Caenorhabditis elegans: one gene and its partners. The protein of the gene in region 1 purifies or fractionates together with the protein of each later gene. This does not show direct contact. Each region holds a gene or a part of one and is shown on either strand. Other genes may lie near its edges.

Evidence for each region.
Region 2: the proteins of daf-2 (region 1) and shc-1 purify together in Caenorhabditis elegans (affinity purification with western blotting, with the first as the bait; one study listed by BioGRID). This does not show direct contact.
Region 3: the proteins of daf-2 (region 1) and casy-1 purify together in Caenorhabditis elegans (co-purification; one study listed by BioGRID). This does not show direct contact.

What each region holds. Positions count from the first base shown.
Region 1 is NC_003281.10:3,036,809-3,043,530, forward strand, and holds the start of daf-2 (Insulin-like receptor subunit beta), read right to left. Parts: upstream 4,039-6,722; 5' UTR 3,974-4,038; intron 736-3,973; exon of another isoform or gene 1-735. Other genes in the region: cutl-25 (ZP domain-containing protein), read right to left, coding at 5,918-6,126. UniProt on the Caenorhabditis elegans protein: Insulin receptor-like tyrosine kinase which regulates metabolism, controls longevity and prevents developmental arrest at the dauer stage.
Region 2 is NC_003279.8:967,218-975,976, forward strand, and holds shc-1 (SHC-transforming protein homolog 1), read right to left. Parts: upstream 5,917-8,759; 5' UTR 5,836-5,916; coding exon 5,770-5,835; intron 5,721-5,769; coding exon 5,650-5,720; exon of another isoform or gene 5,504-5,649; coding exon 5,431-5,503; intron 4,870-5,430; exon of another isoform or gene 4,734-4,869; coding exon 4,243-4,733; intron 2,767-4,242; coding exon 2,676-2,766; intron 2,622-2,675; coding exon 2,463-2,621; 3' UTR 2,116-2,462; coding exon of another isoform or gene 2,020-2,115; 3' UTR 1,871-2,019; downstream 1-1,870. Other genes in the region: cutl-20 (ZP domain-containing protein), read right to left, coding at 1,018-1,100, 1,146-1,271, 2,020-2,115. UniProt on the Caenorhabditis elegans protein: Scaffold protein which plays an important role in the activation of the JNK pathway composed of mlk-1, mek-1 and kgb-1; by bringing together mek-1 and mlk-1, promotes mlk-1-mediated phosphorylation and activation of mek-1 which in turn phosphorylates kgb-1.
Region 3 is NC_003280.10:5,952,314-5,959,451, forward strand, and holds the start of casy-1 (Secreted calsyntenin-1), read right to left. Parts: upstream 4,371-7,138; 5' UTR 4,332-4,370; coding exon 4,256-4,331; intron 4,203-4,255; coding exon 4,098-4,202; intron 3,412-4,097; coding exon 3,308-3,411; intron 3,084-3,307; coding exon 2,192-3,083; intron 2,147-2,191; coding exon 1,352-2,146; intron 1,302-1,351; coding exon 1,153-1,301; intron 1,097-1,152; coding exon 935-1,096; intron 1-934. UniProt on the Caenorhabditis elegans protein: Cell adhesion molecule involved in associative learning and memory.

The DNA.
Region 1 (6,722 bases):
TTGCGCGTCAAATATGTTGTGTAATACGCATTCTAGGAATTTTTTGTTCCCGTAATAGTTATTTCTAATAAGAATATGCCCTAAAATTCCCGGAAATTTTAAATCGCATTTCGAATTTTGACAATTTACGAATAAAAAGAGGGGCATTGAATTTATCTTTTTGCGAAATCATGCGAAATCAGTTGAGAACTCTGCGCCTCTTCTCCTGCATTTTTTGTAGATCTACGTAGATCAAACCGAAATGAGGACACTACATGAGCTATGATGCATTTTGCAGCCTCCGCTATTCTTAAATTGGCAAATTTACCGAGTTTGCCGAGCACGGCAAATTTCAAACATGTGGGTTTGCCGAATATGCCGCCTGGTTGAGATCATGAACATTGCCGAGAAATAACGAGAGCCCAGAAGTGGGTGGCGCTTACATAAGCTCCGCCCATTTAAAGGCTAAAAATTCTCATTTTACTTTGAGCTTTTCCTCAATTCTTCATGATTTTCAGTGCCATTTTTGAGCCAAAAAATCTACAGAAAAAGTGCAAAATGATGGTGCCCGGTGCCTCTACACCAAGAGAGACCACACGTGCAGAAAACCGAGAGAGAGAGAGAGAGAGAGAGAGAGAGAGAGAGAGAGAGTAGAGACACAGCGTATTTCAACTGGAAACTGACACCGAGATGCACCAAAGGACACCGAAATGGAGGTCAGCTGAGACGAAGAGGAGGAGGACGAGGCGGGAAAAAAACCAACTGAGAGGAATACGAAATGTGTGTGTGTGTGTGTGATGTGATGTGATGAACATGTTTCTCAACGTAAACAACGAGAATCTGATAGATTGAACAAAAATAGGAAAAAAAAAAGAATGGTGTTAGGTTTCGCGAGCGCGCGGGAAATTCGAATTTTTGGAAAAAAAAAATGTTTCTCTCAAATTTCTTAGAATTTTCAAATTTTCAGGAATTTTTGAAACTGGGCACTTTTCGATAGTTTTTTAAAAAATTTTCAGATTAGGCAGTATTTGCCGGAGTTGGTAGAAAGATTTCTGGCAAAGTCGGCAATTTGCTGGAATTGAAATTTCCGGCAAAATCGGCAATTTGCCATTTTTCAAATTTTCGGAAAATTTGGCATTTGCCCAAATTGAAAAATTTTAAATTTTCGGCAAATCGGAAAATTGCCGGAATTGAAAATTTCCAGAAAATCGGCAAATTGCAGAAATTGAAAATTTCCGGCAAATCGGCAAATTGCGGGAATTGAAAATTTCCAGCAAATCGGCAATTTGCCGGAATTGAAAATTTCTGGCAAATCGGCAATTTGCCGGAATTAAAAATTTCCAGAAAATCGGCAAATTGCCGGAATTGAAAATTTCCAGAAAATCGGCAAATTGTCGGAATTGAAATTTCCGGCAAACTGGCAATTTCCCGAAACTGAAAATTTCCGGCAAACAGCAAAGTCGGCAATTTGCGGTTTTCCAAATTTTTGGCAAATTCTGCAAACCGGCAACTAGTCGATTTGCCGGAAAAACGGCAACTGCCGAAAGTTTCGGTAAATTGTGGGTTTGCGTAATTTAAAAAATCCCCTCAAAAAATCCGGCGAATTGATATCCGGCAAAATTGCCGGAATTGAAAATTTCCGGCAAATCGGCAAATTGCCGGAATTGAAAATTTCCAGCAAATCGGCAATTTGCCGGAATTGAAAATTTCCAGAAAATCGGCAATTTGCCAAAAATCGGCGTTCAAAAACTGACAAAAAATTCAGAATAAATTGCGATTTTTTCAAAGAAAAACCAAATTTTGACCAATAAAAAAATTCTGAACACTGTCAATTCCATATCATGTAATAAAACAACGAAAAAAAATGCATCACATGACCTAATCTTTGTCATTTTTCATGAAATCGTTGATTTTTGGTCATTTTAGAGGTGTTTTTGGTCGAAAAAATCAAAATTTTTGCCAGATTTTGAATAGATTTCATGAAAAAAAACGATTTTTATAGAGGATTTGGTGTCAAAAAATTGTGGAAATTATTAGATTTGGGGAATAAAAATCCAATTTTTTTCAGATAAAAAATTAAAATCTAAAGCGAAAAAATGGCCAAAAAATGGCCCAAAAAATCTACATTTTTGCCCATTTTTCTGGAGTTTTCCCAGAATTTTTTCGGTTTTTGGGGTTAAATTTCCGGGAAAACATAATTTTTTTAATTTTTTAATTATATTTTCGGAATTTTACCGCCAAAAACTCATTTTTAATGGCAAAAAAACATAGAAAAATGGTTCAATCAATTGAAAATTTCAATTTTGTCCAGAATTCAATTTATATTTAATTAATATCCAATTTTTCACATTTTGGTAGTTTATTTACCATTTTTTTTTTGATTTTGGCCACAAAATGTACCTAAATTAACAAAAAAAAGTTGGTAAAACTGGAGATTTTAGTGAAATCTGGGGGATTTTCCGGGATTTTTTTTTCGGTTTTTGGGGTTAAAATTCCGGAAAAAACTCAATTTTTTCAGTTTTTTATCGAATTTTCGGCATTTTAACGTCGAAAAACTCAATTTTAATGGCAAAAAAACATAGAAAAAAGAACGAAGGGTCAATTCAAATGTTTTCGCGTTTCGTTTTTTGATCTTTGAGTTGTTGTTGTTGTACCCCATCCGCCGCCGTTTTTTTTTTCAAATTTATTTTTTTCCCGCCAAAAAAACCTAAAAATCAATAATTTAAACTATAAAATAGCAAATTATTACGATTTTTAATTGAAAAATTGAGCAAAAAATTGACATTTTTTGTAAAATAAACACAAAAAAACCAATTCCCACGTGGCACAGATTGTTTGCTCATCGTTTGTCGGTGTACTTTTTGGAAAATATTTATTTTTAAGGGGGTATTTCTGATTGAAAGAGCGAAAAAAAGCGAAAAATGAGTGAAAATTTGGAAGAAATCGAAGAAAATTGGGCTAAAATTCGATTTTTTTCGCAAAAATTTGATTTTTGAGCCAATTTTTTGTAATTTTTTGTATTTTTTTTCACCAAATTTTGCTGAATTTTACTTGAAATTTTAGAATTTTGGATTATAAAATCCAAAATTTTTCGATATTTTTTGCAATTTACTGGTCAAAATTGCGGAAAAATGGTTCAGAAATTGGCGAAAATGGGAATTTTCATCAATTTTAAAGCGATTTTTGGTTATTTTTTGAGATTTTCCCTAAAAATCTCCAAAATTCTGCCTAAAACATCAGAAAATTCGTTATTTTTATTGCTAAATTGCTGCAAATGGCCCAGAGATTGACCGAAGTGTGATTTTTTAAATAAATTTTTATCAATTTTTATCAATTTTAAAGCGAAAAAACCAATTTTCACATTAATTTTGTTGGTTTTTAACGAAATTTTTGGGATTTTCTCGATTTTTTGTGTGATTTCGCTAAAAATTGTGTGTATTTTTAAAACAAAATCGCTTAAAATCGATATTTTCAAGTAATTTTTTCAATTTTTAATTGCTTTTTTGAGCAAATTTTGTGGTTTTGTCTGTTGAAATCTTTTAAAAACCTTATTTTTCTCGATTTTTTCCTAGATTTTCCACTTTTTTTCACGAAAAACTTCGAATATCCGTTATTTTTTCACAAAGGCAGCCTAAAAGTGCATTGAAAAGACCTTGAAAATGGTCAAAAATGACGTGAAAAGATCCAATTGGCACCGTGCCAAGACTATTGCAACAAATTCGGCGTAATTTGAATTGGATAAATGGAATTTTACGGGCGGAAATTGGGAAAAACTGGAAAATGACGGGAAAATCGTTCTGTGAGCGAAGAATCAGATGGTTTAGCAGATTTTTAAGGTTAAATTTGATAATTTAGACAAAAAAAAAGACTAAAATCGGCTGAGAAATGAAGAAAATAGCAAAAAATCGGTGAAAAATCAAAAAACCCGCCTGAATCTCCCTATTTTTACGATTTTTGTGGGAATTTTAGTGGAAAAAAAGAGAAAATTACTTACTTTTGTCGAAAAAATGATAAAAATCCGTGAAAAATAGCTGGAATATTGAGAAAAATCGAAGAAAAATGTGAAAAACGAAATTCAAAAATCAAAAACGAAAGCGCGGGTACGCAAACACCGCTGCACACATTCGCAGGTACAGTACCCCGGGAAAATGTTTAAAATCAGTTAAAATGTCGATTTAAAGCTTTTTTTCAATGGAAAAATACAGTTTCTACATTTCATAAATTGAAAACTTGAATTTTCAGTTCAAAACATTGCAAAAATGCACAAAAAACATCTCTAAAAATGGTGAAAACTCTAAATTGACAATGGAGCGCACTTGCTACTACCAATATTTTTTGCAAAAAAAGCGACATTTGACCGGTTTGAACTCTTTTGAACCCCACGAAATTAGGGAAAAACACCAGGAAAACAAGGCCGAAAGAAGTAAACAACATTTCCGCCATGAAAAAGATAGAAAAAGATGAAATCTGATGGTCGTTTATCATCTTTTAATGCACTTTTACTATTTCTACACAGATTTCTATAGAGAGGAGGCAATGTCATTGATAGATATCCTTATCAATTAATCCGCCGATATTATTTGGGAACATTCAAGAAACAAAGAAACTAGGAAAAATAGAGAGAAAAACAAGAATTAGAAGGTTTGGTAAAAAATTTAAAATTCGAGAATGACGTCACTACATAGCTCCTTCGTTTCTTTGCATAACTCTAATTTTTGATCAGAAAAGTGTCAGAAAAGTTTCGCGCCATTTGCGTAATTATTTTTTTTTTCTCAAAATAGCAGGAAAAAGGAGGGAAATTCGACTTTTTCTGCCAGAGGGGAAGAGATTCGAGATTCAGCTTCAATTTCCAGGTCGTATATCTAGGCACGTATCTCAGCGGGAGAAATAGTTACAAAAATGTTGTCAATGAAGTACTTGTAGAGCTCAAAATTTCCTACAATTCACTAGTGGAAAATTTTTTGCTAACACTCTTCCTCAATGAGATAAACGGCCGTAAATGAGGCTCTGCCCTTCGCGCGGTTTCAAACTCAGCACAGCTTGGCGCTTATTTCTCTGCGAGGGAGAAAGTTACAAAAAATTTGTTAACTAGCAATTTGTAGAGCTTCATATTTGCCACAATTCACTAGTGAAAAATTTTTTGCTAGCATCTTTCCTCAATGAGATAAACGGTCGTAAGTAAGGCTCTGCCGCACTGACCTTTCGCACTTTGCACAGCTTGGCGCTCATATCTCTGCGGGGAAAAAAGTTGCCAAAAAGTTGTCAACTAACAACTTGTAGAGCTTAAAATTTTCTACAGATTACTAGTTTGGAATTATTTGCTAGCACCTTTCCTCAATGAGATAAACGGTCGTAAGTAAGGCTCTGCCGCACTAAGCTCTCGCACTCACCACACTTAGACGCGTGTACCTCAGCGAAGAGGAAAGATAATAAAAAGTTGTTAACTAACAACTTGTAGAGCTTAAAATTTGCTATATTTTTGTGTGAAAACAGTTTTTCATAACTCTGCTCCACACAGATATACACACATTTAAAATTAGATTCACAAAGTCTTGCAAACCTAATTTAGCACTCCTAAACTGTAAATCAGCAATTTTTTTTGTTAAAATTTCCACTAAAAAGTTATAACAATATGTTATTCAAAAGAAAGAACGCAAAATAAACTATAGTATAAAAACTAGACAAACATATTTTGATGATATTTTAAAGTCAGAAAAATAGATGACAAAATGGCATCTGGATTTGCTCGGTGAGTCAAAGTGTACTTTAAAAGTTCAACTATACGATTTTCAGGAAATTATGATAAAAACAAGAGCTTTATTTACAGATAATTATTAAAAGTTAGAAAAAAATATATTCAAGGAAACTGAGAATCATGTAGAAGTACCCATACAAGGGAGTAATGAAAATTTGAAAATTGAAAATTTGTTGAACATTGTCAAAATCTACCGCCAAACTTGAAAACTACCGTAGTCGAGATGGTAATCAGGTAGCAAATGACTACTGTAGACAGTCCCAGGTAATAGATGACGTCAGGCATACAGAACTCTGTTTGTGACGTGGCACGGGCTTCTTGCGGGGAACTTTGTTTTTCCACACGGAATCTACCGTTCACGTAGATGATGTCGGTACGGGTGTTGTTGTTATCTGGAAGTTTAATATTGTGTCGATTTACGAGATTTTGTCGATTTACGAGATTTTGTCGATTTACGAGTTTGGGTCGATTTACGACATTGTGTCGATTTACGAAAGTATGTCGATTTACGAGAGTTTGTCGATTTACGACATTGTGTCGATTTACGAAATTATGTCGATTTACGAGAGTTTGTCGATTTACGACTTTGTGTCGATTTACGAGAGTTTGTCGATTTACTAGGACTTTTCGATTTACGAGATTTTGTCAATTTACTAGAACGTGTCGATTTACGAAATTGTGTCGAGTTCCGAGATTTTGTAGATTTACGAGATTTTGTCAAGTTACTAGAATGTGTCGATTAACGAGATTTTGTCGATTTACGAAAGTATGTCGATTTACGAAATTATGTCGATTTACGAGAGTTTGTCGATTTACGACTTTGTGTCGATTTACGAGATTTTGTCGATTTACGAAATTATGTCGATTTACGAGATTTGGTTGATTTACGACATTGTGTCGATTTACGAAAGTATGTCGATTTACGACTTTGTGTCGATTTACGAGAGTTTGTCGATTTACGACTTTGTGTCGATTTACGAGAGTTTGT
Region 2 (8,759 bases), on another chromosome or scaffold:
ATGTCTGTCACTCTCTAACTATCTACACTCTCTGTACCGGTAATACCATAATATGATCATCATTCTACATTAGAAAAAAATCGATCTGAAATCACAGATTTTTGGCCTCCCTCATAAATTGAAATGGAAGAGGTTGCCAAACTAGGCCATTTTGGCTCGGCCATATCTGGGGTAGATTTACGGCGCGTTGCGTGTCGCGTCGCGGCTCGATTTTAGTTGTAAAACTAAATGTAGTTGGCCGTGTGGAGTACACGACTTTCCCACGCGTTGCCCGACGGGCGATTGCCAATGGAGCGCGAGAATCTCAATGAGGAAGGCCATGGCGCGCCAGAACCCCATGATTTTTAGGGTATTTCGAGGTTGGCAAATATTCTGGAATCTTTTTGCAAAATGTTTTTTTTTTTTTGAAAAAAAAATTCCAAAAAATATCCTGATCGATGAAAATTGTTGGGTGAAAAAAGTTGCAGATTTTAGGAGAAATTTGAGAAATTAGAAAAATTAGAAATTAGGAGAAATCAGAAAATTTCCAAACTGCTTTCAGAATACTTGTATATATTGAAATAGCCTAAAAATCATGAAATTTTTCAAAAATCTCTAAACTAGCCTCCAAATTTGGTAGTAAAAATTCACTGGCAGCAACTTCAGAGCGAGATTTTTCTAGTTTAAAGTGCTCGTATGTCGCTGAATTTTTTGTAGGTACCTATTTGAAAGCTCTTTTTTCAAAATTCAAAAATTTAATTTTCAAGTTTAAATTTTGAGTAGCGCCAGTGGGGGATTTTGTCTAAATACACTTATTATGATCCAAAACTACCTGAGTAATTGCCACTTTTTGACAGTAAATAAAACATTTACAAAAAAAAAAAGTTTTATTATGATATTCGGTCACTTTGGGACCAAATGAATGGTTTTTCATAATTTCCCCACTGGCGCTACTCCACCTTTAAAACTGAGCGGAAATACTTTCCTTGTGAGCATAGCGGCAAAAAACCTAGTACCACATGGCAAAAAAAAACCCACTCATTGTTAGCCATGACAACTTCGATCTCATTCTCCAAATTGCCTTCTCCGTTCTCCTTGGTCGAGCAGCCAGTCAGCGGAATCTAAGCAAATAATGCCCAAAAATTCAATACATTCAATAGGCAAACCTTCAACTGATATTTGGTGTCCGATTGAAGCGTGCCATTTGCATAGATACACTTTGGATGGCCCGCGCGACTTTGTATCGTGCCACGGAAGTTTTCGTCAAACTTGATTTTCAATAGGAAATCTGTCTGCAATATTGAAGACGTTTTTTTCCTTTTGGGTGGTGACCTTCAAGGTTTTGGCCTGGGTTTTTAATCTTCCATTAAATGCCCTTCAAATTCGCTTTTTCGAGAGTTTAAGAGAGTTTCTAGGCCGAGGAACTTCTTGCAGCCAAATTTCTAAACTATTGTGTTTTTGCCAAAAACAATGAAACATTTTAGGTCATTTGTGACGTCATATTTTTTCCATGCAACTTTTTATTGGCTCCACACATCTTCCAAAAAGCCTAAGCCTGAGCCTAATCCAATGTCTAAGCTTAAGCCTAAGGTTCAGCCTAAGCCTACGCCTAAGCCCAAACCAAAGCCTAAGCCTAAGCCTAAGCTCAAGCCTAAGCCTAAGCCTAAAAAAAACCGGAAAATCCTAAGCCTAAATAGCGTCAGTAGCAAGCTAACGCTCGCCACTGACGCCAAACCTAAGTCTCGGCTTAAGCCAAAGCCTAAGCCTAAGCCTAAACCCATGATTAAGCCCAATCCTAAGCCTACGCCTAAGCTTGAACCTAAGCCTAAGCCTAAGCCTAAGCCTAAACCCAAGCCTAAAATTTCTAGGCCACCACTAATATTTTCAAAACTCGATTCTCAAATACTTCATTTTTTCAGGATATGAAAGTAGGACAGAAATGGGCAGGGTATATGGTATGGAGCAAATATCACAAGATGGCAGAAACATAGATACGGGGTGGGAGTGTTGGACTAGGTGACTTTTCTAGGCCATCCCTACCTTATCACACGCAATAGAAGTGTCCACAATGGCCACCGATCGAATCAGCGGTGGCAGCACCACAACCACCGACCAAATGATCCAGTGCAGAATCATAAATTTGTGGAGGGAAAAATCGATAACAGTAGTGAGGGTAATAGTAGTAATAATACAAATATATATGGAAAAATGAATACAAAAAGATGTGTGCGCTGGTTGGGGTGGTGGCGTAAGAATACAGGTGGGTGGGGGGTATAATTGGAGCGTGGCCGAGGAGGAGAATCGCAAAAAAAAGAAGGAAAGAAAGAGGATAGTAATGACATGTTACGGTAGAAGGACAACTACCTAATTATATGAAAGAGGGGGGGGGGGCGACGAGAAGAGGAAAAAGTCTTACGCAATTTGCTACTCGACTTTCAATTTCTGCTAGAAATCGAAAAAAAAATAGGAAACAAATTCCGACTCTATTCGATATCATCACTTCCGGGGCACGGCACAGGTCGGATCAGATTCAACGACGTCTCGCGATCCCGACCCTCTGATCTTACGGCCATCCCATTGTTCACATGATAGTCGATGAGCTCGGAGATGTTGCTGAACGTGCGATCGCGGGTTCGGACTCTCTGGAATTTTGAGAGGTTTGAAGGTTTGGCGGGGGGGGGGGGGGAGGGTCTTACGTTGTGATTGTCCAGTAGGATGAGATGTTTGTGCTCGTTTTCAGCGGTTCGGCCACTCAGCACGTACTTGCCGGGCGTGTGGTCGCTTTGTCTGCAAGGAACTGGACAAGTTTGAGCGGCCGACAGCTTGCGGGTCTTTTTTTAGAGAAGGGGGACTGTGAGGTGTCCGCTGCTTCAGACAATCTTAGCATCATGCAAACCTTGCATCTTTTGTATTTCAGGAAAAAAAACGCAGAATTTTTTTTGAACAAAAATTTCAGCCTAAAACAAAAATCTAAAAAAATTTTGGGAGGATGAACTTATTATACCAAATTTTTCCCTGGTCTTTCAAGAATTATTTAAAGTCCCGTGGCTTCTGAACATATTATCAAACAAATTACAGATATGAAATGTGACTGAAGCTTTAAGTCAGAAATATATAAAAAAAGGATTTTTCATACTATTTTTTCAGTCAAATTTGATTTTTTTAGACTTTCAGATTTTTCTACGAAGTCTGTTAAAATAGGCTTATATTAAAAAGCTATCCGATTTACTATTAGTAAAAAATTATAGCGACCGACATCTCGCAGGTTGTTAAAGAAAGGTGCATTGACCGGCTCACGCAACTTTGGCAGTTTATATCTCGGCTGGTTTTGGTTTTATTTAAAAAATTTCAATTGACGAAATATTTATCACTTTTTCTACTAAAAGTTTGCAGTTGAACACTTTTTGCTAGCAGCGATATTAACCGAGATATTAGCGGAAAAAGTTACATGAGAAACATGGTGCATCGACAAGAAATATCTCACAAAACTTTGGCAGGTTATATCTCGGCTGGTTGTGGTTTTATTAAAAAATTGTTAATTAACAAAATGTTTATCCTTTTTTCTACTACAACTTTGCAGTTCAACACTTTTTGCTAGCAGCGATATAAACTGAGATATGATTGGAAAAAGTTACATGAGAAACATGGTGCATCGACAAGAAATATCTCACAAAACTTTGGCAGGTTATATCTCGGCTGGTTGTGGTTTTATTGAAAAATTGTTAATTGACAAAATATTTATCCTTTTTTCTTCTACAACTTTGCAGATGAACACTTTTTGCTAGCAGCGATATAAACCGAGATATGATTGGAAAAAGTTACATGGAAGACATGATGCATTGATCAGCTATCATAGCTCATATTTTACTTATCTCAGGTTTTACCAAAAAATTGCCAATTATTAAAACATTAGCCTTTTTCTTCGAAAATCAAATTTTGCCCGAATTGCCGAAAATATAGATTTGATATTTTTTTGTAGATTTAGGAGCCTAAACATTTTTTAATTTTTTAAGTATTGACCGTTTGCTTTTAAAAATGACTAATCGAATACTGAAAACACAGTTAACTTTTTTTTCAATTTTCGAATTATAATTAGGTTTGAAAATTGCCGAAAATGTCGGCATTCAGTTGGAATTTTGGCAATTGCCGAAAATTTCCGATTCCCACGCGCCCCTGGTGTGAACCTAGTGAGCATGAAGCCAAACGTTTTAGAAATTCAGCAAAATTCTAGCTTTTTTCTATAAAAAATCTAAAAAACCTTACCGAACCAAAAAATCGCCTTCCGTCTTCAACAAAGCCTGTGCATCCTCTCTGGATAAATTTCCATGATACCAAACTTTCCCCACAACATCCTCAGTTACAGTAGGTGCTCGGCAATTCGACACAAATGACTGTCGATGCAGGGAACTTCGATGTCTCATCGGCGGCGCCGGCACCGTAAATCCATCGTTAGAAGTTGAAGCATTCGCCTGTGCATCAAAAGTGTTCACATTGATCGCAGTGGTAAGGACGTCGATGAGCTTGTGCACATCCTCGATGAACACCACGTGGCATCGACGATCCGTTCCATCCTTGTTTTTTGCAATGTAGCCGAACATTAGCTCCGTGTCCGTACCCTTTTGGCCTTGGGCTCCGAATGAGAAGAATGAGAAGGGATGACGTTGAATTAGACGACTTTGTTTTATGATTTTGATCATTTTCGAGGAAATGTTGATGTCTACGGGGAAGTTTTCTTTTTTCACTTCACCGATTACCTGAAAATAAGGATGGTTTACCTGGGCTTTTTCATCGACCCGTGAAGTGTCGGCTGCAATAATTTTAGTCGAAATTAGTGATAATAACTTTTCTATGAATAGCGGCTGACATCATTTAGCGCGATTTTTGATCGACCTGTAAGATGTCGGTTGCTTTAGTACATTCTATAGTGGCAGGCTTTTGGCTGAATTTTACTGGATATATAAGCTATCAAAATTTGAGCATGTCGATGCACCATGTAATTATCTCAGTTTATTTCGCTGCTATCAAAAAGTGTTAAAATGCAAAGTTGTAGTAGAAAAAACGATAAATATTTTGTCAATTGACACTTTTTCAAAAAAAAACCAAAACCAGCAGAGATATAAGTAGTCAAAGTTGAGTCAGATATTTCCAGTCGATGCACCATGTAACCTTTCTCTAATAACCTGTGAGATGTCGGTTGCTATAATTTTTTAGTCATTAATTTGGACAGCTTGTTAATTTGAAATAATTCTTGATGATATCGTAGCGCGGCCGACATTTCACGGGTCCTTTTTTTTAAACATTTTGCAAAGCTGGTCATGCATTTTTGGTAACACTTAATATCAAATTAATGAGAAAATGTTTTGTAAATTTTTACCATTAGCCATGCCCAGAAAATGGCAAGTTTTTTATTTTATTTTCTTTTGTTTTTTTAATTCACAAAAAAAAACTCACCCTACTAACAACTGGATTGATTTCTCGAGCCGCAGTCACGCCAACAGTAGCTGCAACGTGTTGTATACATTCTCTGAAAATTGAACAGTTACTTTATTACGTAGATTTTTTATATATTTGAGCTTGCAGATGTTACCTGCCTTCATGCCTGCCTACCGCCTGATTTCTAAATTTTTGAATAAGATTTTTTTTTGATTTTAAGCCATAAGAAAAACTAACGAAACAACTTGAACTCTCATCTCGGAAACCATCACGTTAATTGACTCGACTACTGGAACACTTCCGAGGTACTGAAAGACAATTTTATATTTTCGGGGAAAAAACTAATAAAAAACTCACAGTAGCCGACAGAGAAACCCCGCTGCTCCGCAGCTCCTCTGCAAATGAGGGCTCCACGTTGAGCATCGCCGCAAGTTGATTTTTCGACGGAATTTTTGATTATTTTTAGAAAAAATCTAACTCGAAATTCGTTACAACCGAAATTTTGCAAGATTGAGTGAATGAGGAATGACCGGGAGAGAAACGGAGACGCAGGCGGTGAGCGGAGTGGGAGAGAGAGCGCGCGAGACGGAGAGGCGCAGGCAGTGGTAGGGAGGAGACAGGGAAAGATTAGATTGGTGTTGACTGGGTGAGTCAGCATTCTAATAAGTTAAGTTGACTCATAACTTTGTTTTTTGATCAGAGGGGGGGGGGGGGGGCCGTGGCCTAGAAATATCATTGCCTACTTATTACGTCACTAATGGTCTAGGAAACCTTGATAGCTTTTTTGGAGAAGATATGACGTCATTGGTGGACTAGAAATCTTATTTTAGTTCTGGAAGAGAAATATTTTGACCGTGGAAGACAAATTAATGATGTGACCGGTGGCCTAGAAGTTTCAAATTATACCTGGGGAAATAAATGACGCCACTGGTGGCCTAGAAAACTTAAACTATGCCTGAAGACGTCACCGGTGACCTAGAAATTTAATTCTGGCGACGTCATAGAAATTTGAATTTTGATGAGAAATATAATTTTATTGGTTTTCTGAAAATTGAATTTTATTGATTTTTTGGCAACCGGGAAATTGGAAAATTTAATAAATTGAACAAATGCAATAAAATAAGCAGTTTTTCAACAGTCATTACTTTTTTCCGTGAACCGTTTTGATTTTAATTTGTAAATCTAGGTCGGAAAAGTCACACACACCGAGGAGCTAGGCTTCCCTCATCCTCCCTGGATCAGTCGGTAACTGCTTCGACTGGGGAGTGGGAGTGGGAGGGGTGGGATGAGTTCAATTCTTCTGGAATTCCATAATTTTTATTTTTGTTTTTTTGCGCCTACATATACCTGTGAAAATTGGAACTCGACACAAAAACCTCTCTAGCGCGGCTTAAATTTACTTCAATTCTTCCGGAATTCCATAATTTTTATTTTTGTTTTTTTGCGCCTACATATACCTGTGAAAATTGGAACTCGACACAAAAACCTCTCTAGCGCGGCTTAAATTTACTTCAATTCTTCCGGAATTCCATAATTTTTATTTTTGTTTTTTTGCGCCTACATATACCTGTGAAAATTGGAACTCGACACAAAAACCTCTCTAGCGCGGCTTAAATTTACTTTCCTGTCCCAAAAACTCATCTATAATATTTTTAAAAAATCTAGAATCCAAATCTATCAGATTTTTTTGAATTTTTGATTTTTTTCACATCGAGATTCGGAATCAGCGGAAAATTTGGAGTCAATTAAAAATATTTTCCAGATTTCGATACTCCACATTTAAAGGAGATCACCTGAAACGCCAGAATATGATACTTCATACTCTCCATCTTCTCGCTTTTGAAAATAATCAAAAAAAATAGTCGCCGTATTTATTGATATAGAAAAAATACCAACAAAATTGTAACTATTGATTAGCCATACAGGGTCTTTAAAGTCAACATTCATAGTGGGAGCTGGAAATAAAAATATATAATAACTTGTTAAAAGAATTTATTGTGGAGTTATAACACCTATAGACAATTAAAATCACCTGCTGCCTAAAGAGTATTTACCAGAAGCAAAGGTTTTCTGAATTTAGTGGAGTTTGTCCATTTACTTTTTTGCATGTTATTGAATTGAAATGATACATAGTGAAACTAGAGGTAAAATTATTTACTAGGTTTAGGCTTAGGCTCAGGATTAGGCTTAAGCTTAGGCTTAGTTTTAGGTTTAAGCTTAGGCTTAGAATTACCGATAACTGATAACTTTTGCAAATTTAGTTTCTGTAATATCGGCAATAGCCAAAATTGCCGGAAATTTCTGCGATTCGAATAAATAAATTGAAATAAAAATTAGTTCCTAAGATACATGTTATCTTTTTGCAGGAAAGTAGTAAACTCATGAAATGAGAAATTGCGATGAGGAAGGAAACATTCCTATGGTTCCTTAGACAATTTCTCACCTTACATTAGTATATAATATATAAATGATGAATTTGACTTTTTGAAATTCTCTTCAATAAATACATTTAGTTGTTTTTTTTTTAATGAGTAAAGTTGCAGAGTGTGGAATTTGCTATGAGGAATATGGTGAATATTGTTGGAAATTTTTCTGAAAGTTTTCATTTTTTTTGGAAATTTAGAGAGTTGGGTGTAATTACTGAAAATTATGTTTTAAAAAAATTATTTTAATGATTTTTCAAATTTTACAAAAAACTCATTTTTAAATCATTAGAGGTGAAGTAGCGCCAGTGGGAAGATTGTTAAGATCCACTCCTTTAATCCGAAAAGTACCGAATATCATAATAAAACTTTTCAAAAGTTTTTAGAAACTTTTTTATTTACTGTCAAAAAGTGACAACCACTCAGTTTTTGCCACTCATAATTTTGGAAGTCGACCAAAAAAAAAATTTGTTTTCCTACATTTTTTATACTTCAATTTTGTTTTAATTATTTGTATTGAAAAATTGTAGGGGTCGAAACATGCGACAATCCTGTCAGTTTTCAAAAATCTCTACTTACAAAATATAGGACACGCTCCAAAAATGGATGTTTTTACAGACAACGCCATCCGAATCCCTTGCATCGGCACATGCGGTCATACGTTATGTGACAGTTGTCGTGAGAAAATTAGAGATAAAAAATGTCCTCAGTGTAATCAGAAAGGCGCATTTGTTGTGAAAAATGTGAATAAACAATTTTGGGATTTAATTGTTTTTTCGCAATTTTTAAAACCCCAGGAAGTGGAAGTTGAGGAGACTGAAGAGGTTGGTTAGAACTTTTTTTTTGGATTTTTCGGTATTTCCGGGAGGTTATCCTTTGGGCCTAAAACTAGGCCTAAGAGTAGGCCTAAGCCTAAGCCTAAAA
Region 3 (7,138 bases), on another chromosome or scaffold:
AAGTGGGCTCAACATGTTGAATGTATCATCACTCTCTCGGGAATAAGCAAAGTAGAGCAATTATGGCTTGAGAGGCTCGATGTGAGCAATGTCTCAAAGAAATGCGCGAGTTCCGGTAAGACTCGTGATCTTATCCGGAGAGCAGCAACTATGTATGAGTGTGGGCGAGGAAAACGAGAAGATTATCGAGACCCTTTTACATGAGATTATAGCTAATTTTTTACGCAGTTTTTAATTTTTCAGGAGGATTATGTCATAGTGCCAAGAACTTAAAGGTGGAGTAGCTATAAAATAGTCTGAAGTTCTTGAAAAAAAAATTGCGGAGCGAATCGCTGATTGGTGTTGCAGTTTTCATTTTGGATTTAACTCAAACATGGAGATTAATTATTTTTTTAATGTCAAATTTCTGAATTTAGAGTTTATTTTGTCAATTTAAAGCAATATTCTCAATCACGCTACTCCGTTTTTAAGAATCAGAATACAAAAGGAACTCGGAAACAACTATTTAGATATCAACAAATATTCTAAACTATAGACATGAAAAAAGGACGATCCAAGTGCGTATTGCACAAATGATGGCAATTTCTAAATGGAAGACACAAATTTTCCTTCTATCCATCTCACTCTAAAACCCATTTTGAGGCGATGAAAACAGACGGGGCGCTCTCTCAAATCATTATATGCTGCTGAGAAGAGCAAGGACATAAATGGATTTTGTACATAATGTGAAAAAGATTTCTTCTGAGAATGAATGAATGAGTAATTACAGTGGAATGTGAGAAGAGATTCTCGGTTTCTTGAGCCCTTAAGTTTTTATAGGATCTTGAGCAATGAAACTAGAAATTGATAGACTTAGAATAGTTGAGCTCCAAACTTTCAACGCCGTAAGACATAATGTGAGATAGAAAAAACTTGAAGATCCATAAAAACTAACCGTGACAAACAACTGATTGCTGAGTACTCGGCCCTTGAGCATGGCACACTGGACGGTGTAGACACGTTTGGCGTATGATTCTGGTCGAGTGTTGAAATAATGAACCTTCGAGAGCACTTCCTTGTACCCTTGAGCGCTTTCCTCTCCGCGAAGAAGGATGCCCTGAAGAGCAGGAAATTAGAAGATTGAAATCAGATTTGAATCTGTCTGGGACTTACGTCTTTGTCATGCTCAAACTCAATGTTAAGAGCTGCAATGAGTGAAGCCGGTGATGAGAAGTACTCTACATCCATATCACGTGCTGGTTGCAAATGCATCTTACAGTAATCAATCTTGTGGGATTGGGTGACATCTTCGAGTTCTCCGTCTGAAAATGAAATTCCGAAATGTTTCTTATTATTTGCATTTAAAACTTACCAGCATTGTTTTGGCTGATGGTTATGGTGAGATCTGGAACCATAGCTTGTCCAACCTTAACCATGTGTTGATTACTTTTGAGTTGAGACGAAGCAGAGATTGAAAGAGTTGGTTCAGCGGCTTGTTGAACAAAAACGTATCCTTTGCTGGATGGTAGCTTCATCTTCTTGTCATCTTGTTTGCAAGTAACCTCAGTCTCAACAAGGAAAACACGGTGTCCTGGAGCTGGTTTCTCTTGAGTGTTAACATAGGCAACTCTCTTGAGCATTTGACCAATTTGCTTTGATGTTTCAGCCTTCAATGTAAGAGAGGTTTGATCTGGAGAGAATGTTGCACTTTGGCTTTCAAGAAGCTCATCAACTCCGGTGAACTGAAGTTGTTCTGGGCAAGTATGAGCGCATTTTATTGCACGTTCACTTTCAACAGCTCCAGAGAGAAGATAAAGAGAGGAAAGTTGTCCACGGAAGAACTGTGCAAGTTTCTGTTGCCGTCCGTGCCAGCACGCTCCTACAACAAGTTTGGTCTTTGTTGCCTTGGTCTTGTGAAGCGGCCAATCGTCGAGGATTTCAGGATTTCGTTCGTCAGCCTTAAAGCTCTTTCCATCGACGATAACATTAACATCATCGATGCCATTGAAGAGAAGTGAATATGAATGCCACTCATTATCGCATACTTCTGGCATTGACCAACGCCATTCAGCAGCACGGAAGTCTGAAGTGGCTCCAGCTTCACGGCGGAGAACAACCTCCAATTTGCAGTGACGAATGTAGACAGAGAAGTGATGACGGTTCATGTCTGAAAACACATATTCACTGGTTGTTTCTAAAAGAGATAACTCACTGAAATCATCACTTTCGCAAAGAATGTTCTGCTTGTTACTTTGCTCGTCCTTAGTTCCTGCAGCATGTTTCATGGAGAAGCTCAATGTGAAGTGATCCGGAATGAGTCCTTGATGATTTTCATCAGAGACAGTCACTCCTCTGGCTCCATCAAACTCAATTCCTTGATCAGCAAGAATCTGATTCTCAGCCGAGCTGGTAAGGGCTTCTTCGTTCAGCAATTTGACAGTAGCAGTTGAAAGTCCACAAGATTGAATTGTCTGATTATCATAGACAGTGTCTCTTGCACAACCTTGAGTAACGTGTCCAGCACGAAGTTCAATGACTGACTGCACACTCTTTGGTTCACAAATTGTTTCCTTTTCACAGAATTCAAGAGATACGTCTGGGAGGAGAAGCTTTGATCCAACTCCTGGAGCATAGTTGACACGCTCATTCATTGCAGTGATTCCTTGAACACATTTCTCATCAACGTGAACAGTGACCAGAGAACTTTTGCTTTTCCTCATTGCGCAGTCAATAGCGACTACAGTGAGAATGTATGATTTTGATTGAGTAAAGTTGAGTGGCTGAGTTGTACGAAGGACTCCATGATTGTTAATGGCGAACGGAAGTTCCTTAAGTCCATTTGTGATCTCATATTCACAGATTTCTCCGTTTGGATGTCCACAGTCTTTGTCAGATGCCTTCAGTACTCCAACTTCCTCAACAACTTTTCCCTCTTCCACGTGGAATGTGTACCAAGGGTTTTCGATTTCTGGAGCATGATTGTTGGTGTCCTTGACACGGATCTTCAGAGACACTCCTTCACTCTTCACATTGTCGTTATCGCATTTCACAGCTTGAACTTGAAGATTGTATTCTGGCTTCTTGCAGTCTAGTGTGGCAGCATCCTGAATAATAAATGTTTGAACTTTAATGGTGACTCATCAAGAATTAATTTTCTTTAGAAATATTGAATAAAGTTTAATGAAAATTCCTTCTAAGAACACATTGATTTTTAAGCTTACAAAACGGTTTTCCACTAATTATCTGATACACACGAATTAAAATATGAATACTGGAATTTTCATTAGATGCCTATTCTCCAAAAATACATTATGACATCATGTCTCACCTTAACTCGAAGTACAGCTGCTCCAGTGTACTTATCAACAACCTGGATGTCGAATGGCACTGGCTCATTGTTCTGTGATGTAAGGAGGTAGTTGCATACTGGCCCTGAAAATTCCCTCAAATTGTATTCGCTTTATTTTTGTTTCAATTTCAAATTGTGGATAGATATTCCAATTTTTCTAGCTTGTCTTTCATTCCATCACCCGTCTTTTTCAATTCATGCTCTCTCGAATCATCGGCTGTCATGTCATGTCATAGTTAATCCCTCTTCTTTTCTCTTTCTTTTCCACGTCAATCCCTTCGTGTTCTACATCGTCGTCGTCGTCGTCGGTGGCTCGTAATCCTGTGTGTGTGTGTATGGAGCCAGGCTGACAACGACAACGATGCTTCATCATCAAAGAGAAAACAGAGAAAATGCGTGAAAAGAAGAAGAAACATGAAAAAAGAAAACGAAACAATTAATGAGAGGCTGCATTGCTTTTTCGATGAGATTTTTGTGCAAATGAGGTGGGCATGTCAGGAAGGAAACACGAGGGAAAAGAAGAAGATTGAGAATGTAAATGCCATGAATACTAATGAGCATGATTATTTAAAGGAAGTAGCTGAATTTTTGTATTTCTCTAATTAGGTTTGTTAGTTTTCACACCTTCAATTAGGAAAAAGGAAAACTATAAAATTTAATTAAAGTTTCTTGTGATCTAACAAGCCGGCTTGATTATAAACATATCTATATGAATCATGATTTTTAATCGTAAGAGCTGAAAACAATTTATTTTAATCTCCCAACTCACCGGTTTCAGAGAGGATTGCAAAATCCGGCACGGTCGAGATAATGTTCTCATCTTCTCGCACGACAGCCACAAGCTCTTCGGCTCCTTGCAGATTGATTATTGGCGCTGAAAATAGATTGGAATTTAAGAACTAACGGCCAATAATCTGTAAGTGTTACCTCGAGCAGCATGGTGATGTTTGGCGTAGGAGACGCCTAGAAGGGCGCCGACAAAAATAAAGTACGCAGTTCGCATATGTGGGTTTGAGTAAGAGAGCCTGGTTGGAATTTGCGTCTGAAAAATGATTGGTTTTGTGTGCGTGAGTAGAGGTCTGCGAGCAGAGAAGGTGAGAAGAAAATAATTGAAGGAATAAGGAAATAACAAAAAGGGCAGAAAAATGAGAAAATGTGTTGAGTGAATGGAGGAAGTAAATGTGGATGTGTTTGGAAAAAAACAGACTAACAGTCTTAGTGGAATGATAAAACTCTAGGCTTTTGGGTATCTGTAGATTTTAAATACCGGAATTTTCAATAAGATAATTGAGTGGAGATTAACCCACCGATCAAAATTCTACGGATTTCGTATTTCTCTGGATTAAAAAAATATTTTTTTGATTTAGATTTAGATTTTTTATTGAAAGAAATTGTGATGATATACAAAACAATGTGTTCAAAAGACGGAACCACATTTTTTCTATCTCTCTCCCTGTCCACCACTACTTCATGCCTCAATCATTTTCCACCCTCACACGTCATTTTTCCGACTTTTTTCTTTTTTGTGAAAATCGTTTCAGCTCTGCAGCTCCTGGCACTGGTCACGCCATAGTTTTCCGGTAAGCCGTCAGGAGCACTAACATTTCGAAATGAAATGGTGGATGGCACGAGCGAGAAAAAAGAAAATGCGGGGAATTTTTCAATTAGGTGTCAAGGAAAGGTTTGTTTTCGGCTGCTTTCTTGAGCTTTTTCTTGAGCAGCGGGTCTTCTCATTCTTATTCGTGCGTCTACTCAACACCGACTATAAATAAATGGCAATATTGAATATGAGAATTCGTTGAAGAGGCATCATTATTTTGATTTAAAACTTCAAAGATCCAGGATTTAGTTTTAAAATGTTTTGGGATTTGGAGTTTGAAACAAAACGAGGGTTGAAATCTAAGAAACTGGAAAAAGTAGAATAAAAAAGAAAAGGAGGAAGAAAGGCAAACGAACAAAATCTGACGTAGATAAATAGCTGTTTTTTCAATGAAAATATGATTGAATTCTAGAAAAAGATTCTAGAAACGAGAAAAAGTGGCTGGAACGGAATGTGAGCCTTGTTGAAGCTGAGAAAGTAGAGCACGAGAGTCAGCATCTGCTCCTCCTACTCATACCATCTAATCTCCTCTTCACATCCGATTATCAGAAAATGAAATATTGAGTGCTGGGGGAAGTTAAGAAAATGAGAAACCAGAGAAAACATTGAGCTGGTTGTCATGGTTTCATGTGGGGAGCTCAGTCGGCAGAGTGAAGTGAGGCACGAAGAAAAAAAACGCCAAAAGAAATCTGAGAATAAGCAAAAGAATGCGAAGAGACAGAAGTTCTTCTTATTCTTCTTTCTTCAAGCATAACATGTGTGGTTTGAATTGAAAATTAGGTAGAAAAAGGGAAGAACCGAACATGCAAAAATCAAGGGTTGAAAAAGGGAGGCAAGAAGGGGAACAAGAAGAAGAAGAAGTTGAGAGTTGTGAAGACAAGCATGCATGTGTCAATAGAGGTGGAGCATTCGAAAGACGAGGCAAACGGAAGAGGAAGGACGCCGCCGCGAAGGGGACGGAGTACGACGAATAAGTCAAATGCTTACAAGATAAAAGGATGATGATCATGATTATGAGTCAACGAGGTCAATCATGTCAAATGGAATATTGATTGATTGAAACAGTCCCAGAATTGGTGTAAAGAAATTGGTGTAACAAGTTAGAATTTAACAACAAAGATGATCAGCACTAGTTCGTATGGATATGCGATACATTTATTTTACCAAGCAACAAAAAACATGAATTCTTGGATTAAAAAATAAGAAATTTTGAAAATATCCAATAAACTTGTATGTGGATTTTTGGTTTTTTTTAGCAAGACATTCTTGGAAAGAACCCAAAAATTCTATGAAATTCGCATTCCTGCTATTAGGTTTAAACAAAAGTTATATTTTTAGTCGATTCAGAGGAAGTACGGTATACGAAAAAGGAGTTTCTAAGATAATTTAATTCATTCTTACTACATTATTTAAAGTATCCGAAAATAGATCAATCTTCAATATTTTCAATTTACAGCTGCTTCAGACTTTTTTTTGTAAATTGTTGTTATCATGGAATGAACTTTTGGGATTTTTGCATTGTTCGCAAATACATATCCGGTAGTAATATTAAACAGTTCCTCGAATTCGAAAACGAAAACAGGTTGACATCCGATATTTTGGGAGGAACAAGAGAATACTGGGAAGGCTATGGAAAGAGAGGGGCACACAATAAATATAATTCCTTATTCATAATTCATCATCTGACACAGCCAATAGCCAAAACACGGTTCCAGTGTATTACCTGATCATGTGGAAAAAGAGGTTTATATGTATTTGAAGAATTTGGCCAGAATGGATAAGATTTCAAGAAAAAAGAAAAAAAAACGAAGAAAAAGACGAAAGCGAAGGAAGTCATAAATGTATCCGTTTAACGGACGATGGCCAGAAGACACGGGAGCGCCGTGCTCTCGTTAGTTTTTACGAGCAGTTTTTTAGTAATTCGATTATCGGATTATGGTTGTGGTGGGTGTGTGGGTAGAAAATTAATAGCCATTGGAATAGAAAAAGTGCGAAGTGTCAAAAACAGATGACAATGATCCGACTGGTTTTTGAGAAGCATCAAGAGGGTATTGATGCAAAACGAAGTGGCGAGGAGTTCTGGAGAAAAATATAGGTTTTTAAAAAATTCTGTTGAAAAATGAGAATGTGAGGTAAAGATATTGATAATCAAGTGATTTACAAAATAAATTCAAAATGTTTCCGGAAGTCGAGACCGGAATTTGGGGGAT